3 linked regions of the Saccharomyces cerevisiae S288C genome follow. The gene in region 3 interacts genetically with the main gene of each other region. Each region holds a gene or a part of one and is shown on either strand. Other genes may lie near its edges.

Evidence for each region.
Region 1: of POL3 (region 3) and REV3, changing one suppresses a phenotype caused by changing the other (phenotypic suppression), as found in Saccharomyces cerevisiae (9 studies listed by BioGRID).
Region 2: mutations in POL3 (region 3) and POL32 are lethal when combined (synthetic lethality), as found in Saccharomyces cerevisiae (11 studies listed by BioGRID, with this or other methods).

What each region holds. Positions count from the first base shown.
Region 1 is NC_001148.4:232,093-239,017, forward strand, and holds REV3 (DNA-directed DNA polymerase), read right to left. Parts: upstream 5,016-6,925; coding exon 501-5,015; downstream 1-500. Other genes in the region: MRX4 (Mrx4p), read left to right, coding at 1-417; ATG29 (Atg29p), read left to right, coding at 5,246-5,887; SET6 (Set6p), read right to left, coding at 5,864-6,925. UniProt on the Saccharomyces cerevisiae protein: Nonessential DNA polymerase. Required for DNA damage induced mutagenesis. Involved in DNA repair, mitochondrial DNA repair and translesion synthesis.
Region 2 is NC_001142.9:515,961-519,506, forward strand, and holds POL32 (DNA polymerase delta subunit POL32), read right to left. Parts: upstream 1,554-3,546; coding exon 501-1,553; downstream 1-500. Other genes in the region: NUP85 (Nup85p), read left to right, coding at 1-329; VPS55 (Vps55p), read right to left, coding at 2,803-3,225. UniProt on the Saccharomyces cerevisiae protein: DNA polymerase delta (DNA polymerase III) participates in chromosomal DNA replication.
Region 3 is NC_001136.10:274,987-281,421, forward strand, and holds POL3 (DNA-directed DNA polymerase delta POL3), read left to right. Parts: upstream 1-1,885; coding exon 1,886-5,179; downstream 5,180-6,435. Other genes in the region: QRI1 (UDP-N-acetylglucosamine diphosphorylase), read right to left, coding at 162-1,595; serine/threonine protein kinase DUN1, read right to left, coding at 5,321-6,435.

The DNA of each region.
Region 1 (6,925 bases), on a different chromosome or scaffold from region 3:
GGAGGAGGAAAAAAGAGTAAAACTACTAAAAAAGTACTTCAAGGGAATAACATATTGTTACACTCATTAGAAAACAATAAGGATATGACCCTGTCAAACAACTTTGATCACAGTGTCTTTAACATCAATTTTACGGACTTATTTGGCGTTATTAATGCATCTGGGTCCCCACCAGATAGAGTTTTGAACGAAATTAATGAGATCGAATTAAAAGGTTGGAAATGTGTGGGGAACTTATACGATAATAATAAAATTGTAGTTTTTCAAAGTAGCAATCCACTCTTAGAGGATACGAAGATTCCTCAAAAGTCTTTCACTAATTCAAAGAGATTCCTTATTTCACTCTCAGCATTGCTGGCCTCCTTTTTTGCATATTATAGATACCGTCTATCTCAACGTCAAGAATCAAAGAAATGATTTTTTTCTTTCTTGTATATAACAACGTTATACATAGAAACAAATAACTACTCATCATTTTGCGAGACATATCTGTGTCTAGATTACCAATCATTTAGAGATATTAATGCTTCTTCCCTTTGAACAGATTGATTATCTCTCAAGTATCTTTCTGCTTTGACACGAGAGTAAAATACTGGACAGTCATATGAATTGCATTTACTAGCTATATGGTCATTTTCGATGCCTGCATCGGAAGTGTAACGATAACTGCACGTCCTGCACACGGTCTTTAGTGTTTGGTATTCTTTTTGTCTCTTTAATTTCTTTATGAGAAATGATAAGGTTGTGGTGCTTCTTTTCTCTAAACAGTCATCACATAACTGAAGTGAACATATTTTAGTCAATTCTTCACCACAATTACAACATGTTGCAGAAGTTCCTACTCTTGTTATGTTTTCCACTTTTGTAGTAGTTGTGCTCGCCCTTTTGGATTTTACTATTTCCTGAGCCCAGTTGCCAACATTTATACCAATCAAATTGAACAATCTATCAAGAGGAGGTATCAGAATTTTGTTTATATAATACTCCGAATCTAACTCTAAATTCTCACCTTCTAAGAACTCTTCTGGTGATACGCATCTTTCCCGAAGCAGTTGTCCTTGCTTTCCTTTAACAACAAGGTAAGGTATACGCTCCTTGTATTGGGGTTCTGCTCTATGGTCTTCATTTATTCTTCTTTTTACAACCACGGCACCTGCAGGGGCTGTCTTTTCGCTTTTATACGCTCCTAATTTAACTTCTTTTGCAAAACAAAAATCTTGGGCAGATACCTTTCCTATTTGAATCTTAAAAAATTCATTTTGAAGATACTTTTTTATTTTTGACAGGTCTTTGGTTTGAAAAAGTAATCGAATACATTTTTCAATAATCTTCTGCTGGGCTGGGATACCATCCCTTCTAACAGTTTCAATACCCTTAGCATCAAAAATAGGAAGGGTCTGCGAAGGACTTTCATAGGAAAATCCTACGTACCTTTTTTTGCTAATTAATATGGAGGGATGGTATACTTTTTCAAACTTCAAAAAGATTGGTTTTGGATTGTTTTGAGTAACTCTTTCTGCCATAGCATGTCCTATAGAAAAAGCCTCAATAGCAGTTTTTCCAGGTAGATATACAAATAAACTATCTGTGTCTCCATAGACAACTTTGGCGTTCCAAGTTTCATCTTTCTCAATAATATCTATTGCTTTCTCCAATGTTTCTCTGCCTGTTTGTACAATGCTATCAGCTAAATCAGAGCATGGCATTCGTCCAGAAAATGAAGCTGATGTATAACCGTAGGTGACATTCGCCAATAATTTTAGTGCTAACTGTTTGTTATTCAAAAGCCTTTTTAGGGTAGTGTTGTCATCACCTATTTCGTTCATTGTTTTCTTTATCATCACTCTGACATCAAGGATATCTGTTAACATTTTGGATAACGTTGATTTTCTAACAGAGGTCTTGGCATAAACAACACCATTTGGAGCGATAGTTACATCATTTTTTAATAAAGCTAAAATGTTTCTTGGTAATGAAAACTTAGATACTCCAAGGTTATTTTCCGTTAAGTTTATTTCTCGCACTCTTCCTATCATAGTCGAATAGCAATAGTTGTATCCAATCATAATGGATGGATACAATGATTGGAAATCCAGCACAATTAAAGGACTTTTGTAGAAAGCAGATTCTGGCTCCATAACCAAAGGCACACATTCAAGTGCTTTTTGCTTACGAACATCCTTTTTGCCTGGAGAAAGAAGGATAAAACTTTCGGACTTGCATATTCGGATTAAAAAAGACTCAACTTTAAATTGTGATCCTCTGTAATATACAGAATGGAAATCTATTCCTATCAATCTTGCCTGTTCGATATTTCGAGCAATGTAATCCTGCTTTCTTAATAGTTGTATATTTATCTGAGCTCTTGATAACCAATAATTTAACACAGTCTTTAATTCGGTTGTGCTCTTTTTAGCGTTCCACATATTAGTTAATGACTCAAATGAAAAGTGAGGTAATCGTTTATGGAGGATATTGAACGCAGCACTTTCAATAGTATATTGCGTTAAATTTACGTCGGACCTCAACGCTCTCCATATATTAATCATATGTCTTCCGGTAATCATAATTCCTGAGGAATGGGCATATCCCCAAGTATCTGACAACTTCGTCTTAATTTGGCATTTGACTCTGGCAAGTTCCCTGACAATGTCAAATTGATGTATTTTTTGACACCTTTCAATTATATAACCCCACGAAAAATTATGTATTTCGAAACCGGAAAGAATATCAGGATCAAGAAGTAATACCAAATCAGTTAGAGCCTCAAACATTTCAAATTCACTTTCATAGAACATCACGGGAATTTCGTTAATACAATGTTGAATTTTAGTAGGAAATGTACTATCCTCAGAAGCTTTGTGGACTATCATAATCCCTTCGTAAGCGATATCCAAATCTAAAGGGAAAGTTTCTTCTTCAAGACACCATATAATCATGGAAACTTCATCTATTGCAGGGTCTGGAATTTTATCACTTCTCGTGTTTGCATGAATCTCAAGTGTCAGATGAGTAAGAGAATCGTGAACGCTACTTTTTTTTCTTTTTTGTTTTCCAGAAACGTCACTAGCAAATTTGTATAAAAACTTACTATGAGGGGTGTGCATGCTTATCTGAGACTCAGTTTTTTTGTTTCCCATCGAGGGTACTTTATTGTACCATTTTTGAACAGCATCATACGTAGGTGGTTTTAACGCATATTTCCAGGAGGAAAACATGTCGAAAGTTGGCTTGTTATAAACTGATACGGTCTCTCCCCCAAATTGGACGGGTATTCTCGTTGATACATGTGTCGAGCTTATTTCAAACCTCTTACCTGCGTACGCGTAAGGTTTATTTTCTAGATCAACTGGATTCGAAAAGAAAGGGTCCTTATAGTCTATTTTTGGGAATCCCTCGTCTTCCAATTTATTCAGAATATCTTGATAACCGAAAGGAGGCTCACCATAAACAAAGGCTCTTTTTCCATAGCGTAATCCCGCAGCCATAACCTTCTTTCTTTTCCGAGACAGCAACGATGTTTTATTAGCAGAAACAGATGATCTAAGTTTTCGTTTACTTGCCATATTTTGCGTCATAGCACAATCCATTGAAAAATTTATCGTATTGTGATATTTTGTTTGATGATCTAATAGTATAGTAGAATCTTTCGGAGACGCAATGCTTTCCGGTAACCATGAATAAGACCGAGACTTTATATTGCTTCCTTTTACACCTTCGTTCTCATTATCAACACCACATATCTCGTATTCGGTGAACGATGCATTAACTTGGTCGTCGTTCTTTTTATCTTGCATACTATTATTGTTTATTTCAATCTGTGGAAGCCTTGGCCACAATTGCGGTAATGCTTCATAGGGCGTATTTATGGCTGAGAATTTTTGATTCTTATCTATAAAGTTCTCAAAATTTGGTATTTGACCATCAAAAGTACTTGTTTTATGTTGTGCTTTCTTATAAAACGCTTCGAACTCTCCAGAAGATTGCCATTGATGACCACTCACATGGCGCTTTGTTTCTGGTGGTTCTTTATATTCCTTCAAGGACAACTCCTCTCGTTGCATGGTAAGTTCATTTATCATGTCCCTAGCAGAGGATACATATGGTTTGACAGGTATGTCAGAAATATCTCCCAGTTTTTCCAAAAAGTCGTGATGTATATCTCTATGCTGTAACTTTTCTCTATTTTTGATGAATTGCGGTAGTATATCTATCTCAATCAATCCATTTCCAACCCGTGGAAAATCCCTTCTACTGAGTACGTTACACTTGAAGTCACAAAATCGATCTAGTAACAACTGAAGATCATCATTAATTGTCAGCTTATCTATGTCCAGTATACTATTTAAAACAGGAGAGCGAAAATAACACCTATCCACGTTTATCCATGAACATCCAAATAAGTTAAAATCTGCGGTCCATTGTAGCAAGTAAGGAATATGTGATTCATAAATTTCGAATTTCTTTCCGAAAATCTTGCCATCTCTAATCAATTCCGAAATCCTACTTAGACAAGAAGGATTAAGCAAAGAAATTTTGTAAAACAGATTCCAGCCAACGTGGTAACCATAAAATGGTATACCCTTTACAACAGAGACATCAGCGACAAAATTGAGATTTCCAAGTTTGTCGCCGGCTAAATCGTGTTTATCATCTTTTTTCCTTTTAAAGGATGCCCTAATTTTTACTTCCAGCGTTTTATGAACTTGGGCACATCTTTGGTGTCTCAATGTACTCGTGTCAGTTATTTGTCCATCATACTTGATGAACATGTAAGGTAGAATGCCATGGACGTGGCACAATACTTGATGCCCTGTGGGTAAAGCACCAAACACCCTGATGTTTGGGACCTGTGAAAACTGGTTTAAGGGCAGGCTTTCACCGTGCGATGGGTCCAAAAAGGTGGGTTTTGACATATAGTAGTCTTGATTATTTAGCTGGATTCTAAAATAGTCTGATTTAGAGGATGATCTAACCGTATCGCTCTGTATTGTGTCGTTCGACTCCCTCGACATTTCCAAACATTTTATTTCGCCACAACTTGTAGTTTTGTATTGACTCAAATACTTTCTCTTGTTTTGTGCTTCTATTACAGAGATGGCTTTTTTCTTCAAGTACACTATTTCTAGACGCACTGCACTCGTCAAAAAAATGATTCAAGGTGAAAATAAAGGGGTGTTAGTGAATACTTATCAAGAAGAGACATACATAATTGTACTGCTGTGCATTTTCCTACTTGACTTTCATGATTATGAATAGTACAAACACAGTTGTATATATCAAAGTTAAGGGTAGGAGACCACAGGGATTCTTGGATCCTCCCAAATTTGAGTGGAATGGAACAAAGGAGCGACAGCTTTGGACAATGGTATCAAATTTGAATTATTCACAAGATCAAATAGATTGGCAGAATTTATCAAAAATATTTGAAACGCCTGAATTTTTTCTTAAAAAGAGAACATATAAATTATTTGCTGAACACTTAGAGCTTTTACAACTACAATTGGAGAAAAAAAGAGATCTTGAGAAGTATTCAAATGATCAAGTGAATGAAGGGATGTCTGATTTAATACATAAATATACCCCTACTTTACAAAATGATAATCTATTAAATGTATCCGCAAGCCCACTGACCACGGAAAGACAGGATTCTGAAGAAGTTGAGACAGAAGTAACAAATGAGGCGTTACAACATTTGCAAACTTCCAAAATTTTGAACATTCACAAGAAAACATCGGATAGTGAGAATAAGCCTAATGACAAATTGGATAAGGATGGTATTAATAAAGAAATGGAGTGCGGTAGTTCAGATGACGATTTATCTTCGAGCTTAAGTGTTAGTAAATCTGCGTTGGAAGAAGCGCTAATGGACAGATTGCAATTCTGATTTACATCTTTCACAAGCACAATCAAAAAACCAACTGTCGGCCAAAAAGGCCCGGCGTTTTACTGTTGGTAAGTCCAGTACCCCGGAATAATCGATACAGATCTGCTCATCCTTTTTTATATCTCTATTCATAGTGAATAGCATTGAATTACCTTTACGATATTTCGTTATATTGGGGTTACAAGAGTGGTTGAAATAGGAGGCTTCTGGAAATACCCAGTATCCAAAATATTCTCTGCTGTCTGAGGCTTCGCCCTCTTGCCATAAACCAAAAGCATTCCCATATTCAGTACCTAATATATGTCTCAATAGCGGTATGGAGAGCATTCTATGCAAATGTGAAGGTAATAGAATATAGAGTGTTTGAAATACTAATTTTTGAAAGTGCAGTAAGACAGGAAATTTAGATATTTTGCTAAGCTCATTCGATTGTAACATATTGAAAGCTCGGTATGTTATGCACTGAGGATCCATATATTTAAGATTAAACAAACTCTCGCACACAAACCTAATGCAGCAATATTCATCTTCGCAAGTGGGTGGTAATTGATTTATTCTCTTCGCAGATTTCATGTTGTTGATGCGCGGTATCCATTTACTTTCAATCTCATCCCATGAAGACTGTATGACATTTTCCGAAATTAAGATAGAGTTTAATTTTTCCTCCTGTTCAGAGGTATAATTATATCTTTTCAGCATGCTTGGAAAATGATGCAGTAATATCTCATAACATTCAATTAATTCAATGATATTTGGTATTTGAAGATAAGAAGTTCTGCAATGTTCTGAACAGAACCACAGTCCAGCGCCCAGAAACTTCTTAGGGTTAATTTGGTAGTGTGCATTACAAACCAAATCTCTCAGGTAATCGTAGTTTAGTTTGTACTTCATAGTTTTCGCATTAGCGTATGCGAAACAATTGTGACAAACTTCCTTCCTGAACTCATAGGAAATAGATGTTCCTGTAAAATTACTGACTTGCAAGACTGTTGTCCCTTTAGGAATATTACCATTACTGAAACAAGCCCTACCGCCCCA
Region 2 (3,546 bases), on a different chromosome or scaffold from region 3:
TGAGGGACAGAGAAGATTGGGGCCAAGCGCTGCGCCTATTGCTTTTGCTGATTGAATTCCCTTATTTACCAAAACATTACTTGGTTTTGCTTGTGGCGAAATTCCTGTACCCAATTTTCCTTTTAGATGATAAGAAGCTAATGGATGAAGATTCAGTGGCGACAGTCATTGAAGTTATAGAAACTAAATGGGATGACGCTGATGAAAAAAGTTCAAACTTATATGAAACCATTATTGAAGCAGATAAAAGCTTACCTAGTAGCATGGCAACACTTTTGAAAAATTTAAGAAAGAAACTAAATTTCAAATTATGTCAAGCGTTCATGTAAATCAGTATAGTAATGTCCTTCGGATGGTATATTAGGATATATGACGAAAATAAGTAAATTTAAACAACAATATATATTTATATTGATCTATTTTTCTATCACGTAAGTTGACATTTGTATTATACATTACATCACAATTAGTAATGGAAAGTGTTTGGAAAAAAAAGAAGATTATTTTGCCTTTCTTTTGAAAAAGCTTTCCAATGTTCCTTGCTTTTTTAACCTTTTATTCGATGACGGCGTTTCTTGCTTTTTTGAAGACGACAATGCCCTTTTTACCACGGGTGATGGCTTGCGTGGTGGTGTTGAAGTTGCGGGTCTCTTTGTCACAATATATCCATCCTCATCAATAAAAGAGGAGGGCTCTTCTTCAGATTTAGGTTCCTTTGAATGTTCTGTTTCAGAAGGCTTTGTTTGCTGTATTTTAGGTACATCCATAAGTGAATCTTCTGCTGTCGTTTCCAACAAGTCTTCTAAATCATCGTTGTTTTTGTCCTTATCGTTGCTGTCAGTTTCTTTAGGTGAGTTGGGCTTGGACCCTCCATTTACTTCCTCTGTATCTAAGTCATCTTCGACAAAAAGATTATTTAACTCTTTCATTTGAGCTTCTCTTTCAGGGTTCTGTTTATTTATTTTTTGCAAGTTCTCCTCTTTCCTTTTACGTAACTCATTTTGTCTAGAGGTTTCCTTGTCATCTCTATCCTTTTTCATCTTAGCCAGCAGTGCAGTAGACCTGAGACCCATGTCTTTAGATTTGGATTTCCTTCCGGTTGTTTCTTCTGGCGTGGTCTTTGATCTTGCTGTAGGCCTTACCAAAGGTTTAGATTTCTCTTCTAACGTCTTAGTCCTCTCTATAATTTTCGATGATTCAGAAACTTTAAGTTCGTATGAATTTTTAATGGTTAAACAATCCTTTTGATCGATAATGTCGTAATATGGTATGAAGCTGTCCATGGGATTGAAGGCATAGATGAAACAATCAATTATTGAATCTTGCTGTGGAATGTTGGAAAGATCATGAATAATTTTAATAGTTTGATCTTTGTAGCAGCATATCACTACGCAGTTGTATTTGGCATTGGTGGTCTGTTTGTAATAGTCAAACATTAATTTCTTGGCCATGGATGGGCCGATCTTCAAGTGGTGAATTAGATCCGTAAAAAGGACGGGCTTTACCTCAGTGAAGAGCTTCTCATTGATAAAATATGACGCCTTTTGATCCATTAATTACCGATTGAGTTAACTAAAGCCTATTTCTGGTTGTTAGTTAATGTGAAATATTATTTCGAGCTGATCTGATTGCGATGTAACGAACTTCTGCGTACTTTTCAAAATTAAGAGTTTCGCGTGTTTAACTCATACGCGTTTACTACTTCCGTCGGAAAGTTACACCGTAGTGGAAAATAGACCTATTCGTTAGTATAACCTTATTAAGGTACTTCCATTAATGAAGTGTTCTATATTGAGGCATACTGATCGAGAATTTTCATAAGGTGAAACGATAAAAATATAAAAATTAAGCTTAGCGCCGCTCGGTTTCGATCCGAGGACATCAGGGTTATGAGCCCTGCGCGCTTCCACTGCGCCACGGCGCTTAACTTTTATGAATATTTTAGACTTAATAAAGATTCATATTGTAAAATTAAAAACAACTTGCACACTGAGCTGTGTTAGAATGAAATCCTACTATAATCCATAGTAGTATTCATGTCACTAGCACATTACAAAATATGCCATAGGAAGATGACGTAAAGATTGAGAACTAGTCATCAGATATAATAGAAGCTGAAAAGCAAGAATTGATAATATCGGACGCTATCCTACAATAGCAGCGCAGTTGCATAATTTGTTATGTGTCGTCTTTATTGTGTGTAAAGCTTTATACACCTTTACCTTTGTGTAGAAGACAAAGACATTGTTGTTATCACTATGTCCACATTCGCTACGAGGATATTTTCAACATATCTAGTTGAAATACAAATCTCAAGCCACTATAAAAACTGCGGAATCAAACAAATGTACAATACATTATCCTACTAGAGACTAATTTCTCAAGGTTTGCAATCCCATCTCTTTTCATGAGGTATATTGCGGCACAGAATGGTTGTACGACCATTGCTCAACGTTTCCGCTCATAGATCGATTCAAATAAGATTATAGACATGTGGCGATTCAATGCCAATCCTTATCCCGAAATTACGGATGTATTCAGCCAACTTTGCCTATCTACATTATTCTGTCAACTAGAGGCTAAAGACACGAATTTCTTGGCATTTTTTGTTTGAAAACTTGAAATGGAAGAAAGACAGAAAGTAATTTTATGTAATCTATTATATTTAAGTAGTTCTAAAAAAAAGGAGAAATCGACGCCAGATTTCCCACCTTGAGTAGAGTATCATACTATATAATATCAATGTACGGTTCACGCACCCAGTTGGCTTAGTCTGTTGAGGGGATGAGTAATTGTTATATATTAACCAAAAAGGGAATCATCTTCGTTGAAATCTTTTTTGAAAAACCATTTAAAAATAACAATACTAGAATATATGATAAGACCACCGATCATGCACATGATACAACTCAAATGGCCAATCAATTGGCAATGATAGAAAACAACAGGGAGTGCTATACCGCTTGTCACCAGCATTCCTGTAAGGAAGTGAGCCAGATCTTGGCCAGTGTTTGATGAATCGGACATGAAGTCAGATGTGTGATATTTATTTCCTGCATTGAAAATTGTGTTTGGTATTGGGGCAAGCAAAAAGATCAAAATATCGAATAGTGGGTAGTAATTATGGAATAATGCGCAGCTTAGTATGACCAAAAGGAATCCCAATGCGAGGAATCCTGACAGAGAAATAATCTTTGTCAATGGTGACACTTTGAATTCCATCATAACCGTCTGGGATTTTATGTATTAAGATTCTTTGCCTTTTAGATTTGATAAATATGCGCCGATATTAGACGTGTGTGTGTGTGTGTGTGTGTGTGTGTGTGTGTGTGTGTGATTCCCCTTTTCTAGTTTTTCTCCTACTCTTTTTTTCTCAGTTTTTCGTAAAGTGGAGTGAAAGCCCATCTAAGAAAAAGGCATAATAAAATGTAATAATTTTGAGGAGTACATTTGGGTATAGAACAGGATCAAACTAATTACAAGAGATACATGGCTTTCCCGCTTAATGCGAGGAAACAGTACTTATATAAACGATATATGTTTGGG
Region 3 (6,435 bases):
ACTCTTTCCATTGGCAGAGCGGATCCGCCAAATAGAAATTACATAAAACAAGTAATTTAGCTATTTTTCAGAGTACGAAATATTTTATTATATATATTGAATCACAATTACGAGTACTTTTCAATTACATGTTAAAAGTGCTTCATAAGTAGCTCAAACAGTTATTTTTCTAATACTATACCACTTCTGTCAAAGACTTTACCTTTGAACTGGGATAGATTTTCACCTGCATAACTCAATTTGCTGGAAACTTCGACTAGTACCCCATCTTTTACAATAGCGCCTGCATCTTCCAACCACGAGGTTCCTAGTTTCAAATATGCTAGTCTGCTGGTCTCAGGATTATCGTTCTTAGAACCAGGACCGTTTTTTAAAGGTGAAAATTCTTTGCATCTATCTACTTCTAAGCACCCAAACTTGTTCAGTGGTACAGTGTCAAAGACATCAAATATGAATTGCTCTAATTTTATACCGTTTGGTTCGGTAGGCTTAGTGTACTTGCCGGTAACACTATCATAAGCTGGAATTTTCTTCTTCGCAATGTGATATGGCATATTCTCACACCACTGATCCAAATCACGTTTTAGTAAATCCACTAGGTAATAATGATTTACAATGTTGCCTGCGCGTAGTTTTAATAAGCCATCTTTATCCTTTGCTTCAGCCAATTCATTGGAAATTTCAGAATATTCTATGACACATGGTTTCTCGTTTTTAGTAGCAATTAACCCAACTGATTCATGCGCATCTCTCTTTCTAACGGCTTTGGTGGCCAGTTCGAAGCCATGCTTGATGGCAAAACCAATAAATACAGGGTCTGCGATTTTAGATAGGACATTATCGACACAGTACATGTAAACATGCTTGATTCCTCTCCTATCAAAGTCTTCGTTCAACTTGTTTTCCTTGATGGCACGGTAGAGTCCACCATTTCCATCTGGTGATTGAGATAGGTTTACTGGGTCTTTCATTAGGAAATGCTTCCCGGTTAAATCAAAGGCAGGCAGGGTTCCCTGGTTGAAGAACGTAATTTGTTCTTTATTCAAGCCAAAATAATTGTGTTCTTGAAAGTATGCCTCAGTAGCCGCTCTAGTGGGGCCTGATGTCATAATATACCAAGGAATTTCTACCTTTTTGTCCTTTACCATATCTTGCAACCTGATCAACTTTTCAGCTTGAATTTGAAAAAGAGATTTCTTAGAAGGCAATCCAATGTCGTAACAGCCCTTTGGTTGAGAGGATCCTAACCGCGTACCTTGTCCGCCAGCCATTAAAATCACTGCGACTTCACCCTTGCCAATAGCTTCAAGGCCTAAACGCCAGTATTCATTTTCTTTCTTACTGTTGCCAATAAGCGACTCGTACGAAGTAGGGGGCAATGGTGAAATTTCGACGCCAGTATCCTTAGAAGAGTTAGCTAGTGAGAATTTAATAGCATTTTGACAGTCTTCCAGTAGTTTTGCAGGGGACCTCTTGGAAGATATTTGCTCCAGGTTTGAAAGCAATTCTTCTTGGTCTTTGCGAGACAAGCTTTCCCAATTGTGGAAAAGTTGACTTTGTCCGGCTTCAATGAATAGCTGTTTTGTGTCAGTCATAGTTGCAGTTCGATCTGGTGTTCTCCTTTATATCTGCGTTTCTTTGCAGCGTTCTTGCTTGACGGTTGATCTTGGTTTTGTGTGGTAAAAGTATGCCTTAACGTAATAGGCAATTTTTCGTATTACGCGTAACTTTTTATTCTATAAAATGTTCAATGAGGACATCTGCTATTCGCTTATGAAGAACAAACACTCAGTACTACTGATCTAAGGCAATTTTCAAGGATAAAGGAAAATAGATATTGAGCACTTGCTATTAAGCATTAATCTTTATACATATACGCACAGCAATGAGTGAAAAAAGATCCCTTCCCATGGTTGATGTGAAGATCGATGACGAGGATACTCCCCAGTTGGAAAAGAAAATCAAACGGCAATCAATAGATCATGGTGTTGGAAGTGAACCTGTTTCAACAATAGAGATTATTCCGAGTGATTCTTTTCGAAAATATAATAGTCAAGGCTTCAAAGCAAAGGATACAGATTTAATGGGTACGCAATTAGAGTCTACTTTTGAACAAGAGCTATCGCAAATGGAACATGATATGGCCGACCAAGAAGAGCATGACCTGTCATCATTCGAGCGTAAGAAACTTCCAACCGATTTTGACCCAAGTTTGTATGATATTTCTTTCCAACAAATTGATGCGGAACAGAGCGTACTGAATGGTATCAAAGATGAAAATACATCTACCGTGGTAAGGTTTTTTGGTGTCACTAGTGAAGGACACTCTGTACTTTGTAATGTTACAGGGTTCAAGAACTATCTTTACGTCCCAGCGCCCAATTCTTCCGACGCTAACGATCAGGAGCAAATCAACAAGTTTGTGCACTATTTAAACGAAACATTTGACCACGCTATTGATTCGATTGAAGTTGTATCTAAACAGTCTATCTGGGGTTATTCCGGAGATACCAAATTACCATTCTGGAAAATATACGTCACCTATCCGCATATGGTCAACAAACTGCGTACTGCGTTTGAAAGAGGTCATCTTTCATTCAACTCGTGGTTTTCTAACGGCACGACTACTTATGATAACATTGCCTACACTTTAAGGTTAATGGTAGATTGTGGAATTGTCGGTATGTCCTGGATAACATTACCAAAAGGAAAGTATTCGATGATTGAGCCTAATAACAGAGTTTCCTCTTGTCAGTTGGAAGTTTCAATTAATTATCGTAACCTAATAGCACATCCTGCTGAGGGTGATTGGTCTCATACAGCTCCATTGCGTATCATGTCCTTTGATATCGAGTGTGCTGGTAGGATTGGCGTCTTTCCGGAACCTGAATACGATCCCGTCATCCAAATTGCCAACGTTGTGAGTATTGCTGGCGCTAAGAAACCATTCATTCGTAATGTGTTTACTCTGAATACATGCTCACCCATAACAGGTTCAATGATTTTTTCCCACGCCACTGAAGAGGAAATGTTGAGCAATTGGCGTAACTTTATCATCAAAGTTGATCCTGATGTTATCATTGGTTATAATACTACAAATTTTGATATCCCTTATCTTTTAAACCGTGCAAAGGCGCTAAAGGTGAATGATTTCCCATATTTTGGAAGGTTAAAAACCGTTAAGCAAGAAATTAAAGAGTCTGTGTTCTCTTCGAAGGCTTATGGTACAAGAGAAACCAAAAATGTCAATATTGACGGCCGATTACAGTTGGATCTTTTGCAATTTATTCAGCGTGAGTATAAACTAAGATCCTACACGTTGAATGCAGTCTCTGCGCACTTTTTAGGTGAACAGAAGGAGGATGTACATTATAGCATCATTTCTGATCTACAAAATGGCGATAGTGAAACAAGAAGAAGGTTGGCCGTTTACTGTTTGAAAGACGCCTACCTGCCTTTAAGGCTTATGGAAAAACTAATGGCGTTAGTTAACTATACAGAAATGGCTCGTGTTACAGGTGTGCCATTTTCATATTTACTAGCTCGTGGTCAACAAATTAAAGTTGTTTCTCAACTATTTCGAAAGTGCCTGGAGATTGATACTGTGATACCTAACATGCAATCTCAGGCCTCTGATGACCAATATGAGGGTGCCACTGTTATTGAGCCTATTCGTGGTTATTACGATGTACCGATTGCAACTTTGGATTTCAATTCTTTATATCCAAGTATTATGATGGCGCACAACCTATGTTATACAACACTTTGTAACAAAGCTACTGTAGAGAGATTGAATCTTAAAATTGACGAAGACTACGTCATAACACCTAATGGAGATTATTTTGTTACCACAAAAAGAAGGCGTGGTATATTACCAATTATTCTGGATGAATTAATAAGTGCTAGAAAACGCGCTAAAAAAGATCTGAGAGATGAGAAGGATCCATTCAAAAGAGATGTTTTAAATGGTAGACAATTGGCTTTGAAGATTTCAGCTAACTCTGTCTATGGTTTTACAGGAGCGACGGTGGGTAAATTGCCATGTTTAGCCATTTCTTCATCTGTTACTGCTTATGGTCGTACCATGATTTTAAAAACTAAAACCGCAGTCCAAGAAAAATATTGTATAAAGAATGGTTATAAGCACGATGCCGTTGTGGTTTACGGTGACACTGATTCCGTTATGGTAAAGTTTGGTACAACAGATTTAAAGGAAGCTATGGATCTTGGTACCGAAGCTGCCAAATATGTCTCCACTCTATTCAAACATCCGATTAACTTAGAATTTGAAAAAGCATACTTCCCTTACCTTTTGATAAATAAAAAGCGTTATGCAGGTTTATTCTGGACTAATCCTGACAAGTTTGACAAGTTGGACCAAAAAGGCCTTGCTTCTGTCCGTCGTGATTCCTGTTCCTTGGTTTCTATTGTTATGAATAAAGTTTTAAAGAAAATTTTAATTGAAAGAAATGTAGATGGTGCTTTAGCTTTTGTCAGAGAAACTATCAATGATATTCTGCATAATAGAGTAGATATTTCAAAGTTGATTATATCAAAGACGTTAGCCCCAAATTACACAAATCCACAGCCGCACGCCGTTTTGGCTGAACGTATGAAGAGGAGAGAGGGCGTTGGTCCAAATGTTGGTGATCGTGTGGACTATGTCATTATCGGTGGTAATGATAAACTTTACAATAGAGCAGAAGATCCATTATTTGTACTAGAAAACAATATTCAAGTGGATTCGCGCTATTATTTAACTAATCAATTACAAAATCCAATCATTAGTATTGTTGCACCTATTATTGGCGACAAACAGGCGAACGGTATGTTCGTTGTGAAATCCATTAAAATTAACACAGGCTCTCAAAAAGGAGGCTTGATGAGCTTTATTAAAAAAGTTGAGGCTTGTAAAAGTTGTAAAGGTCCGTTGAGGAAAGGTGAAGGCCCTCTTTGTTCAAACTGTCTAGCAAGGTCTGGAGAATTATACATAAAGGCATTATACGATGTCAGAGATTTAGAGGAAAAATACTCAAGATTATGGACACAATGCCAAAGGTGCGCTGGTAACTTACATAGTGAAGTTTTGTGTTCAAATAAGAACTGTGACATTTTTTATATGCGGGTTAAGGTTAAAAAAGAGCTGCAGGAGAAAGTAGAACAATTAAGCAAATGGTAAAAAACGATAGGGTGGCACATCATATTAGGATTAAGAAAGGCTAACAACTTTTTGCATGTTGGTGGATATATATGTATATATAAATAGATACTTGGAAAAATCCAGATTCAAACAATGTTTTTGAAATAATGCTTCTCATGTTTAGAGGCAAGATAATTCTGAGTATGTTTTGGGTATTTTATTGTCAGTAATTTGTAAACGCTGCAATTCTAATGAGACCGAGCTTTGTTGCTGTATGTCATTGAACCAAGGGTGGTTCAAAGCTTCATCTATATTGTACCTTTCATCAGGATTTAGGACCAAAAGATTGGATATTAAATGTAGTACTGAGTCATCGATTTTATCCCAGTACGGAGAGTAAAACGCATACTTAGCTTGTAAGATCTGTTCCTTCAATGAAGGTGGCCCCAATTGATCACTGAATGGAGGAAAACCACATAAACAGACATATAATATGACACCAGCACTCCAAAGATCTACTTTTGATGTGTATCCTTTCTTTGTGAGGACTTCGGGCGCTACATAAGAAGGCGTACCACAAAGTGTGTTTGTGAATTGCATTTCTCCTGTAAATTTTGCTAGGCCAAAATCCGCTATTTTAACTTGAATATCAATTTCATCTTCATCCCATGGGCCAAGTTGGACTTGACTTGGATTTTCGCGCCTTGTTATATTTAATAAGATATTTTCTGGCTTGATGTCTCTGTGAATGATGTTTTGCTCATGCAGATACTTCAATCCGGTAAGTAACTGTTTGAATAGAGCTTTGGATTCATCCTGTCTCAAACATGTTTTTCTGACGATTCTTTCAAATAGTTCGCCATCGTCGATCTTTTCCAGTACCAAATATTTTTGAATCTGAGATTTGCTGATTGGCTCTACAAAACTATCTAGTAAGTTGACAATGTTTGGATGTTGCACTCTCATTAGGATGTTAGTTTCCTCCCTAAATTGTTTATTCTTTTTTTGGTCGTCATTTTGCTGAGCGTGGAATATTTTCACAGCTACTTGCTGACCAGTTTTTTTGTTTTTGGCTTCTTTCACCAGGGCGTAGTGCCCTGCACCTAATTCTTTACCTAATAAATATTTATCAAAGAACGACACAGGCCTTGTCTTATTCAGTTTTCTAATTGCGGCACTCGTTGTAGCATTTTGGCTACTTGTAGCACTTATTTGCGGTTTCTTGAAAACTTCGTCGTCGTTCTTATATGAACGACTTTCTGAACTTACCTTTTCATCGTCATTTTCGATGTCAG